Cricetulus griseus: one gene and its partners. Each later gene encodes a partner of the first gene's protein in a complex. Links are inferred from orthologs where the notes say so. Each region holds a gene or a part of one and is shown in the gene's direction. Other genes may lie near its edges.

Region 1 (4,171 bases):
TGGTCGGGATGTATTGTACAAGGGAAGACTCTATTCTTAAAAAATAGAAAAGAAAAGAAAACGGGGAGTTGGGTGGGGTAGTTCACAAAAGTGGAGCCAAAGGGTAGCTGGGCTACCTTTGGACACCAGAGGCTGTTCTGAAGGGCGTGGTCTAGGCAATAGGGGTGGGCTTGGGTGCTGCCCCCCCCCCCCCCCCGCCTGGTCCCGCTCACCTGACCGGTGGGCGTGACTCAGGGCTGCTGCTGATGATTGCTTTGACGGGATACACTGCAAAGAATGCCTGGAAGCAAGAGGTCTTCTTCTCCTGGTCCTACTTTTTCGGATGGCTGGCTTTACCCTTCTCATTTCTTGCGGGTAACCAGCACAAGGGAAAGAGGGTGGAGATTACCCCTCTAGAGGACTCCCCGTCCCAGAAACTTCCCAGTCACCTGTTCTCCCAGGAAAGCCCAACACCCGCACTCCAGACTCCAGCACACCCGGTGGAGACACCCCTGGAGCCCCCATCCCTAGTCCTCAGGCAGGCCATGTCATCCGCCCCAGGACCCAACTTCCTCCACCGGCTCTGCACTCCCCTCCTGCCAGGCTTCTGCTTTCTGCTGGCGGACATGATCATGCAGAGCACCGAAGCCATCAGCGGGTTCCCAGTGTGCCTGTGAATGCAGCCTGACTGGGGCAGAATAAAGGAAAGGGTTTTAACGCCGGTCCTGCGTGCTTTTCTGAGGGACGCAGATAGGCGGGGGCACGGATACGGAGGGCGCGTGGAGAGTAAAGGGGGTCAGGAAGAATGCGGGCCGGTGGGAAGGGAGATCGGAAGGGACCTGGAGTGGACCCGGGGTGGGGGTGTGGGTCTCAGGAGACCTGGACGCAGGGAGAGGACATGGGGACGAGCCGACGCGGGGGAGTCACGGGGAAGGAAAGTGTAGATGCATAGATATCGAAGGAATCTACAGAAAGAACGCGGAGTTCCAGCAAGCAAAGGGCCATCGGGCATGGGGAAAAAGGCGTAGGGTGCGCGTGGGAACAGACACGGCGACTTGGAGTGAGAAAAAGAGAACCTGGATGTGAACTGCAAAGCTGAGGACAACAGAAGTATGGGGGGTGGGGAGTAGGATGAACACTCTCCCAGAAAATTTCACTCCTAGGGATGCCCTTTCCCCTACTTCTGCGCCACGCCCCCTCCACCCATCGGCCCGCCCTGGATCCCGCCTCTCTCCCTGAACTCCGTTTACCATTGGCTTCCTCTGGGCTGTGCGGCGGTTGACTGGTTGGTGGTGCGACGCGCAGGCGCAGAGAGACAGACGGGGCGGAGTGACCTGAGGTCTGGATTCATCGCTACCCGATCCGGCCGGTGACTGCTACAGGAAGATGGCGGAGCTGCGCGCGCTCGTGGCTGTCAAGAGGGTCATCGACTTCGCTGTGAAGGTGACTTTCCCCACCCCGACTCTGCCCCAGCACCTTGAGACCGCAGCTGTGAGCTTCCAGGATCAGGAGCGTACCCTGCCTGGGATCCTTCTCAAATTCTATAGCCCTTTGACCCAGTCAGTCATACCTGGAGCAAAGATCAAGGGCTGTGAGTTTCGGACAATCATATCCTTCTGGAGTCATGACCCCGCTTCCCTCTTTCTCAGTCCCTTGATAACTGTGGGCTGGAGGGTCCTAGTCCCTATTTAACACATGGGGAAACTAAGGCACAAAGTCACTTAGCAAGGGAGAAGCGGAATAGAGACTTGTGTGTAGGGCCTGTGATTCAGTCACTCATCCCTTTCCCGCCTGACTGCATTGCCTGCTCTGCAAGTACCCCACATGGGGAGCCATCTGGTTCCATGGGGCTCAGAAACTGCCTCACACACATTACCACGGGTTGCTTGAAGAAACTCTTGCTAGAAAGGGAAGGAGACTTTTGTTTGCTGGAGAAGCTAATGCAAAGGCGCCAGCTTGACAGACAGTGGAGGGAGGCTTAACCCTAACCCATGAGAGAGGTTTGAGGGCTGGACCCCAGAGGTCCTAGCTGGTATAGGCAGTTATGAATCAGACTGTTTCCCAGGCCAGTCTCTGTCAATGACTGGTCGAACTGAACTGGAATGAAAAAGATGGTGGCAGTTCACGTCTGTCCCCATCATACTGGGAATTCTCCCTCCGTGTCCTTCAAATTTCCTAGCATTCATAGCATAGGGTCTATGCACCCAAGAGACCTCCAAAATAGGTGAAAACTGGCTACAACATTGACATTAATACCGGCATCCCCATACCCCCACTGAGGAATACAGGCAACAGACTCAGATGTGAAATGGCCATGACCCTAACAGCAGACATTGAAGTGGGTACAAAGTACCAGCAGAAACAAGTCCTGTACAGAGACTATAATCTATTTGTACATCTTCTGTACTCTTAACCCCATAGAGCGGATGAGGAAACCTAGGCCTGTGGAGGCCTTGCTACAGATCCCCCCAGCTGGATAAGCTGCAAGAATCAGAAGTCCAGGCAAATCTGGCTCTCAGCCCATATGCTAGAGAGAAAACAGGATGGCTTGAGGATGCTTCTAGCAGCTCATGGCAGAGATGGTTTCCAGACTTACTGAGACATACATGGGTTCCTGGGACCCAACTCAACCACCATTTATTTGTTTGTTTATTGTGTCTGTGTGTGTTGATGGGGAATCAAATTCAGGACCTTCCAAATGCTAGGCCAGGCGAGTGCTGTACCACTGAGCTATAGTTCCAGTCCTTTTACTGTTTTATTTTTATAATTATTATTTGAAACAGGGTCCTTTTCCTTTAATATTTGTAAATGATTCATTTAATTTTTTTTATGTGCATTGGTGTTTTGCCTGTAGCTTGCATGTGTGAGGTTGTTGAATACCCTGAAGCTGGAGTTTGCAGACAATTGTGAGCTACCTTGTGGGTAGCCTAGGTCATCAGGAAGTGCAATCAGTGCTCTTAACCACTGAGTCATCTCTCCAGTCCCTAATTTATTTTTTTAATTATGTTTATGTGTATGGATATGCGCACATAAGTATAGATGCCCTTGAAAGCCAAAACAGGGTATCAGAGCCCCTGAAGCCATTGTTACAGGTGACTGTGAGCTGCCTGACAGGGTGTTGGGAACTGAACCTGGGTCCTTTAGAAGAGAACAAAGTGTTCCTAGCTGCTGAGCTATCTCCCCAGCCCCTAAGATTGTCTTATTTAGCCAGGCGTTGGTGGCGCATGCTTTTAATCCCAGCACTCAGGAGGCAGAGGCAGGCGGATCTCTGTGAGTTCGAGGCCAGCTTGGTCTCCAGAGCGAGTGCCAGGATAGGCTCCAAAGCTGCACAGAGAAACCCTGTCTCAAAAAATAAAAAACAAAACAAAACAAACAAACAAACAAAAGACTGTCTTATTTAGTACAGGTTGGCCTGGAACTCACTATATCGAGGATGACCTTGAAACCCTGATCTTCCTGCCTCCACATCCTTAGTGCTGGAATTACAAATGTGTACTACCATGCCTGTGTCTCTGAGTTTTATTCTGAGGTGTTTAATTGCCCAGGCTGGGCTTAGACTCCCATCCCCAGCCTCTCAGCTGGGCTTGATGCTTGGCCTATAGCACCACACCCAGCATCCTCACCACCTTGAATTGGCTCTAATCCCAGCACCACCCAGTCAGAACGTGGCCCATGGTCATTTCTGGTATTTCCAGTGAGAACTGAGAGCTAAGAGGTGAACACAGCATGGTGTCTGCTGCTCTCCTTTCCTCAGGGTCGGTGGCGCTTCTCCTTCACACTCCGGCATGCAGGGCTTCCTACTTCATATCCAATGTCTGCTGGTACTCCCTTCAGGGGAGGCAGTGAGTTAGACTTCGAGAGCGACCTAATCACTTGGGCCAGACTTAGGCACCATTCTTTCTCTTATCCCACAACCTCCCAGGAATTGTCAGTTCTCAGCCCCAATCCTAATACACTATGGTTTCCTTTCCAGCCCCAGGCCCAAGACCCCAGGTCCCAGCCCATTGGCCCCTGTTCCACTTAAACCCGAGATCCGGCCTGGCCCCTGTATTATTGGGCTCTCTCCTTCAGCCCTTTCTCATCCAGCCTTAGGGACTTCCTACATGCAGGACTGACCTTGTCTTGCCCTTTTCGGTGTTCTGTGGCTCCCCAGCACTCTCAGTATAAAGTCCTTGGGCTGGCTTTGGGGACC
Region 2 (3,949 bases), on another chromosome or scaffold:
TTAGAAGACTTTCTCCGGAAAGACTGTTATTATTATTAATCTTGTTGATTGGACTATTTATCTCACAATGAAATCCACACCACCATTTACAGGCTTTGGTGTGTTGGATAATGCTACAGGCAAGGCAGAGAGTAGCTGAGAATTTTTCGCCATTCATTAGTGGCTCCAAAATAAGTTCCTGTCTCCACTCTGCTTATTTGAAGCAGAAAGCAAGAGGCCTCTGACAGCACATTTTCCTTAATCTTTGGCAACTGAGGTGTCCAACACAGAGAAGTTTATTATCCCTCACCTCCATAACACCCCAGCCACCATCTCAGGCCCTAGGTCTAACTGGAAGACTTTGAGCTGAACTCGTGAACAAAATGTTTACTCCCAATGCTCACTGGCAGGGGAGCTTTTAGATGGGCTCAGCTTGCGTGTCCAAGGATACTTTACACACACACACACACACACACACACACACACACACACACACACACACACACACACACGTGGATGGACAAGAAGTAACCCTGAGCATGTTCAGAAAAGTACAAGTCATTGAAGCTGTTTTGCTTTGGTTTGTTTAGGAGTTGGATCTTGCTACTTAGCTCTGGCTGGCCTCAAACTCAGGGTAATCTTCCTTCTCAGTGTCCTGGCAGTGCGCAAGCGATTGCGTTCCTATTTAAAATGTCAGAGGCGCGGGCATCCTCTCGCTCCAGTGCAGCGTTGGGAGCTGAGCACACACTGAAGCCACAGAGTGCAAGTCGGTGGATCTGACTCTCCGAGTAAAGGTCACAGCTGCGCCCTCTGGCCCGGATGGAGCCCGGCCAGCTCTGGGGGGGACACTGCCCGGAGGACGCGACCTCGGGGAGCCGGTGCCCGGAGGCAGACAGCCCAGCCCGAGCCAAGGTCGCGTGCACAGCGCAGGCGCGCGAGAACCTGGGCCCCTCCCTCTTCGGGCACCGGCCCAGACCCCAGAAGCGCCTGACACCCCCAGTCTGCCGCCACGACCACGCCCCCGAGGCCTTCTGCCAGGGCGGGCCACGCCCCTGCCTAGCCAAGATTCAGTGGGTCTGTTGAGTCGCCCTGCCACGCCCCACATTTCCGCGAAGGCCCCGCCCCTATGGCCCCGCCCCGAGCTCCACGCCACGCCCCTGTGGGCGGGGCCCCAGGCGGAGGCGCTCAGTAGTTTGTGTGCGGTGGTCGAGGCGGGCGAGCGCGGAGTCATCATGGCAGCTGCGTTCCGCAGAGGCTGCGGGGTGAGCGGGGTGCGAGCCGGAGCGCCAGCCGGAGCGGGAGCCGGAGCGGGAGCGGGAGGGAGGGCGGGCGGGGGCCTGCGCGGACCCCTATCCTCATCCACCCTTCCCGAAGGCGGGGCAGCCGGGGTCCCGAACCCGCTCTGGCAGCCGGGAGTTCTTGCAGAAAACTCTGGCTGCAGCCCCACGCGGAAGGCGTCAAAAGGTGTGTGGTTCCGCAGCTTCGGGTGAGCAAAGGTGTTAGGATCCCGGGTGAGCGGCTCAGAACTAATCCTAGCCGAAGGGAACGCCGGAGGTTTTGTAATGCACCGGCAGGCTTCCAAAAACTCAAGGGAGAAGGCAGAACCTGCGGAAGAACATCTGTGTCTGTGCCCTCCAGCGTTGTCCTCCGAAGTCTGTTTAGTCGCTAGATTCTCTGGCATCTTAAACAATATCGATGTACTCGTACAGGCCTTCCATTTCTGCCACCTGAAACTGGATTAAAATTGCCTCTAACCCCACAAAAAGACGTAATACTAGAATTTACAGTGATTTCATTATGGTACTGATTAGATATAAGTTAACAGGCTCTAAAAACAGAACTTGCAGGGCTTTTTACATTAGTTTTAATTCTTAACGACAGAACTAAAGGCTTCCTGGTCCCTCCAAGGGCAAGTGAAGGAAAGTGCAACCCCATAACTAATCAGAAAACGTGTCACATTTTTATATCTTTTCCCACGCCGCTGTAAACCCAGACTTAAATGTCTAAGAAATTTCGTTATTTAGTTGTGCTCTTGTAGATTTGAGAACTAAAGTTACTGGTTGTTCCCATATGTGGAATTCTGCTGCTTTTGGACAGTTTTTTTTTGAACCGGGAATAATTTAAACACAGTATTATGACTAGAATTTGAGAACATCGTATTTGTTGCTTATTTATATCCAGGCTGGTCCAGAGCTCACAGCTTCTCTTCCTTCCAAACACTGCTACCTATCTTCCAAGCCTGGCTGTCTTATCTTAATCATCTCCAGTCATCCACCAGGATAGTGAGCCCCGTTTTCCAGGTGTGAATACAGTAAGGATTCGGGAACACTGCTGGCCTGCCCCTGTCACCTGACAGATGCACTCTGGCAGTGACCTGGTCAGCCCAGCTGCAAAGGACTCTTTTAAAAGACAGACCCGCCCACTTGTGCTCTCTTTCCCTTTCTTTCCTGCTGTTCCCCTGGGGCAGACAGGACTTTTCCTGTCTCCCTCTTCTCTGCTGCCCTCTCTGTCCCCATGTCTCTTCCTTTTCTCTTTCCTTCCCCCCACCCCCCACTACCTTTCTAATGAAACTTCTCACTAAGCTCTGTCTGCCTGGCGTGTTTGTCCCCCTAAGTCACCCTCGACTGCCAAGGAATCCTCAAGGTTCCCCATGCAAGGTCCCCCTCAAGCTTTATCATAACTAATATAAGTTGTGTATTTGGAACCGTTCTGAGATGGACATTTGTGAATCTTGCACTCAGTGTTGCAACACTAGCTTCTTAACCCAGTGTTCTTTGTTTATTCTGTTTCTGCAAAGCTACCACACACACACACACACACACCCTGCTCATCCTGCACAACCAATTAGAGGCCCGTGTGTTAAGCTACTCTAATTAAATGACTAATATCAATACTTAACCAGCCCAGCCCTGGGGCCTCCACTCCAATTTTGTAGACAGGTGATCTTCATCTAATCTCAAGTGGAGGCAGAAGAATTAGGATCCCAAGGCCAGCCTGGATTCCACAGTGGGCTTGGGGCCATCCTGAACTACCTCAAAAGAATTTGTCCTAAAACAAACACAAAACCAATTATTAGGGCCTGGAGTGGTGGCGCATGCCTTTAACCCTGTACTCCGGAGTGAGAGGCAGGTGGATCCCTGGGGGTTCAAGGCCAGCCTGGAGTGAGTTTCCAGGTCAGCTGTGGCTATACACTGAGACCTGGCCTCAAAAATAAAACAAACTTTAGTAGCAACAAAAAAACTGCCTTCAGGGACATACACACCCAACTGATAATGGTTTGTTTTCTTGTTTGTTTGTTGTTTTTCAGTATTGCTACTCTTGCCAAGGACCCAAGTTTGCTTCCCAGCACTGACGTGGGTGGCTCACAACTGTCCATAACTCCAACTCCAGGGCATTCCACACCCTCCTCTGGCCTTTCCCACACATATATGTAGACAAACACATAAGTGAAAATAAAACCAAACTAAATAGCATTTTCTTCTGTGGATAGGTGTCCATCTAGCTTGTAATTTACTTTTGAATTATAACTTTAAGTATTTGGTTACTGACTATAAAAACGTAGCTCTTGAATGTGACCATATATATGCTGTGCTCATTTTGGATGGTCAGTATAAATAATTTATTTGTGCCAGGGTATGTCTGTGTGAGACTCTCAGAGTGCAGAGTAGGTGTGGAGGTTAGGTGTCAATAGTGGCAGTCAGTTTCCTCCCACCAAGTGACTCCCAGGGATCAATCTTAGGTCATCAGTGGCCCAGCCAGTGTTCTTTCGTTTGATTGATACTCAGCTTATCAGACTTAATTGTGATACACGTATCTTTTCCAGGTCCTAAGAAGTCTTTCTCATTTCGAGTGGCGAGCACAACACACGAAAACATCTGTCAAGCAGGAGCCAGGATTAGGGTTTAATTTTGGTATGTGTTATGTCCTGTCCTTTGACTTGAAAATATATGTTTGCAATATGTTTGTAAAG
Region 3 (3,510 bases), on another chromosome or scaffold:
TGAGAGAGTGAAGGTGTTTTCTGTTCGAGGGACATCTTTTGAGGCTGCAGCAACAAGTGGAGGTAGTGCTAGTTCAGAAAAGGGTAAGTACTCATTTGAGCCTTTTGATAGGCTGGCATTTCTGTGGGTTATGTCAGAATAAGAGATGACCTCTGGTTTCATTTCTAGTGCAAAGTAAAAATTCAACTGACCCATATTCCAAGGTTATGTAAATAATTATAATTTATGTCTCTTTCATTTCCTCTTGGTACAAGGATAATCATTTTGGTAGATTGAAAGAGTAGGAAAGAGATCAATTAAGATTAATCTGTTATGTTTGTGTTAGGACTTTTTAACTTTCATTATTGTTTACTATTGTGACATTTGAGTGATTCAATATAATAGAAGAATGTAATAATAGGGGTCACAATTTAACATGTCTGACATGTTATTTGAATACTAGAGAGAATTGATTATTCTAGGGATTGTTTTGTTTGTTTGTTTTCAAGACAGGGTTTCTCTATGTAATAGGTCTGACTGTCCTGAAACTCGCTCTGTAGACCAGGCTGGCCTCAAACTGAGAGATCTGCCTGCCTCTGCCTCCCAAGTGCTGGGATTAAAGGTGTGTACCACCACCTGGCTATTCTGGTTTTGACAGATGAATTTAGGAGTAGCAAATGACTTCCCAAAATAATCTTGTCCTCTTAAACCTTTATAATTAAAGAAAATTAAATTGGAAACATGAAAATTTATGAACTTAAATTTCCTAGAATTGGATGTTTGTGTGTTGGTTTTAAAAATAATTATCACTATATAACTTGAAGTCATTATCATTTTTTAATTTAATTGATCAATGTGTGCAGCACCAAGTTCTTCACCAGTGGGAATATCAGAGTGGCTTGATCAGAAGTTGACAAAAAGTGATCGACCAGAATTAACCGGTGCCAAAGTGGTGGTATCTGGTGGTAAGTGCAGTAGTAATTTAAAAGATAACTTAAGCTATACCCTGTAGACTTCATTTAAAAAATACAGGCTTTTATGTAGTTTTTGGTGGTGCTAGGAATGGAACTCAGGGTCTTGCATGTGGTAGGCAAGCTCTATACTATTGTGCTGAGTCTGTAGTCTAGAGCATAGGTTTTTCTATTTTGTTTTGAGGGTTTTTTTATTTTTTTACATTTCAGTGGGTTTATTTTATTTTATTTGTTTTTATTTTATGTCCATTGATGTTTTGCCATGGGTGTCATGTCCCCTGGAACTGGAATTTTGAGAGTTGTGAGTTGCCATGTGGGTGCTGGGAATTGAACCTGGGTCCTCTGGAAGAGCAGCCAGTGCTCTTACCACTGAGCCATCTCTACAGCCACTTAATTTTTCTTTCCAAATGTCAGCAGTTGGTAAGTTGCAAGTATTAGTCATATTTTATCAGGAATATGAAATTATGACAATAATACAAAATTTGGGCTTACTGTCACACATTTGTTGATGGCATCTGGGGAACAGGGCACAAATCTCATTCCACACCTCTGCCACATGGTGTTTTTATTTTACAGACTTCTGTGTTTTTCTATGGCATTTGATTGCTTCTGAATAGTGGGGAAAGTGGTTGTAATCTTGAAGTTGTATATAAACCCCCTGCCCCATTCTACTTTCAAGGGCTTTCAGGATTATACAGGTCTTTGTGGATGACACTTAGGACGCCCTTTACAGTTAATGTCAGGGCCTGAGTGTGGCATAACACTTACCTCTTTTTATGTATTGTCCTTTATAATATGTTGACTGACTTTTTGAGAAGTTAAGGAATGATGTGATTTTTAAAATCTTTCCAAATTAAACATTAAACAAAATAGTTAATGTTCCCAACAGCCATCTATTGCTCAAGAGGTATTCAGAGGGAGCGGTTTAATATTTTGCAAAGATGTTTATCTTGTTTATTGGTTTGTATATTTAGCAAATATTAGTCCATATCTGTTCTGTGATGGGCCTGATGCATTTTCATTTTCTGGAGAAATAAAAATAAAAAATTAGAATGTATTTGCTCTTAAGGAGTTTGAAATCTAGGAGGAACTTCCATTCAGTCATGCAGGGAATATTTACCAAGTTCTTGTCAGAGTTTGCTAATATCACAGATAGAGCAGTGACCTAGAGAATAGTGGATTTTGCATCTTGAACTTAGAAAGTGTTTTCATTGTAGTGGAGAAACAGCAAACATTACAGTGTTCTTTATGTAGTTAATTAATTGCAATGCTGACTGCTTCATAGATGTCAGAAAAGGCTTTGTAGAGAAGGTAATATTTTTAATGCAGCAGTTTGTAATATGGGCTTTCAGTTGGGCATATAAAATGGCAAACATTTTACAGAGTGAAACTTGTATATACCTAATTTCTTTTATCTTTTTTAATGAGGTCGGGGCTTGAAGAGTGGGGAGAACTTTAAGCTACTGTACGATCTGGCAGATCAACTGCACGCTGCAGGTAAAGGCATCTTCCTTTGTACCAGAATGCTTTCTTTATGCTGGAAATGTTTTTCATTGTTTCATTTATATATAAGTCCTCCATATATATATAAGTCACATTAGTTTGCTTTCTATGGTTTTCAGTTTTTATTTTGTTTATTTATCAACTCAGCTTTGTTATCATTTATCAATTATACAAAATAGCATTTGGTTGTGGCATTTCTATTGATGTACATCACATCATTTGGTCATTTTTCCCGTGATTACTTGTTTCTTTTCTTCCTTCTTTTTCCTCCTTCTCTTTCCATGTAGTTCCCCTGTGATTTCCATGTCTTTATTTTTTTTAAAACTGGATTCTGCATGAGAGAAAGCATAAGATATTTGCTTTTCAGCATCTGACTTATTTTGCTTAACATGACTTCCAGTTTTGACCATTATTTTATTCTTTCTGCAGTGGTTTTCTTAGACCTCCAATAAATGCTGAAACATCTCATTAAAGGGGGGTTTCCTAGTAATTTTTAAAGAGTATGTGGCAGTTTTACTTTTGCCAAGCCTTGGGAATCTATCTAGTTTTGATTTTTAAAGTACTAAAATGCCACCTTCAGAGCCTTCTGCAGACCTCTTATTAGCTGTTCTTCAACCTCCTCACATGCTCTGATTCCTGTATGACTATATATAAATGTACTTTCCTATATATATATATATATATATATATATATATATATTCACATACATACATACATATGTATGTATGTGTGTACTGGAAAAAATGATTTTTTTTTAAAAAAAGATTTTTTTTAAAAAAAAATCCATGGTAGCAGAAATGACTGCATCTTATAAACATAGAAAACTGGAAGGAGTGAGGAAAGAATCTCTGAATTTGAGGATATGCCACAGATGTGCTTAAAGCTAAAAAGTAAAGAGAAAAAAGAGCTAGAAAACAACAATAAAATATCTAGTAACTAGGGGACAACTCTAAAAAATACAAGTAATATGATACAAAGCAAAGTAAAAAGTAACTACAACTGAAGATGGGTATAATGTGGAGTTGGGAGAAAAGAACAGGTGTGGTTTATACAGCA

Evidence for each region.
Region 2: the proteins of Etfb (region 1) and Acadm are in contact, whole or in part, in a crystal structure (PDB 2A1T), measured with the Homo sapiens proteins. The link is inferred for Cricetulus griseus from reciprocal best matches to the Homo sapiens genes ETFB and ACADM. Residues at the interface, in NP_001976.1 of Homo sapiens: Glu73, Arg76, Thr77, Tyr192, Ala193, Thr194, Leu195, Pro196, Ile198, Met199, Lys202; in NP_000007.1 of Homo sapiens: Glu43, Gln44, Lys46, Glu47, Phe48, Thr51, Lys54, Phe55, Glu58, Glu59, Arg80, Glu83, Leu84, Gly85, Leu86, Leu98, Leu100, Ile108.
Region 3: the proteins of Etfb (region 1) and Etfa are in contact, whole or in part, in a crystal structure (PDB 2A1U), measured with the Homo sapiens proteins. The link is inferred for Cricetulus griseus from reciprocal best matches to the Homo sapiens genes ETFB and ETFA. Residues at the interface, in NP_001976.1 of Homo sapiens: Ile14, Tyr16, Val18, Ile20, Val22, Val29, Thr31, Phe41, Leu102, Arg106, Lys124, Gln125, Ile127, Asp128, Asp129, Asp130, Cys131, Asn132, Gln133, Gln136, Met137, Ala139, Gly140, Phe141, Asp143, Trp144, Pro145, Gln146, Thr148, Phe149; in NP_000117.1 of Homo sapiens: Glu27, Leu88, Pro89, Glu90, Ser113, Ala114, Phe115, Lys117, Asn118, Pro121, Arg122, Ala124, Ala125, Lys126, Glu128, Val129, Ala130, Pro131, Ile132, Ser133, Arg146, Thr147, Ile148, Tyr149, Ala150, Gly151, Asn152, Ala153, Leu154, Cys155.

What each region holds. Positions count from the first base shown.
Region 1 is NC_048599.1:152,602,732-152,606,902, forward strand, and holds the start of Etfb (electron transfer flavoprotein subunit beta), read left to right. Parts: upstream 1-1,365; coding exon 1,366-1,422; intron 1,423-4,171. Other genes in the region: Cldnd2 (claudin domain-containing protein 2), read left to right, coding at 235-354, 583-656. UniProt on the Homo sapiens protein: Heterodimeric electron transfer flavoprotein that accepts electrons from several mitochondrial dehydrogenases, including acyl-CoA dehydrogenases, glutaryl-CoA and sarcosine dehydrogenase.
Region 2 is NW_023276806.1:5,452,577-5,456,525, forward strand, and holds the start of Acadm (medium-chain specific acyl-CoA dehydrogenase, mitochondrial), read left to right. Parts: upstream 1-1,143; 5' UTR 1,144-1,211; coding exon 1,212-1,250; intron 1,251-3,802; coding exon 3,803-3,890; intron 3,891-3,949. UniProt on the Homo sapiens protein: Medium-chain specific acyl-CoA dehydrogenase is one of the acyl-CoA dehydrogenases that catalyze the first step of mitochondrial fatty acid beta-oxidation, an aerobic process breaking down fatty acids into acetyl-CoA and allowing the production of energy from fats.
Region 3 is NC_048597.1:167,107,380-167,110,889, reverse strand, and holds part of Etfa (electron transfer flavoprotein subunit alpha, mitochondrial), read left to right. Parts: coding exon 1-83; intron 84-842; coding exon 843-944; intron 945-2,378; coding exon 2,379-2,447; intron 2,448-3,510. UniProt on the Homo sapiens protein: Heterodimeric electron transfer flavoprotein that accepts electrons from several mitochondrial dehydrogenases, including acyl-CoA dehydrogenases, glutaryl-CoA and sarcosine dehydrogenase.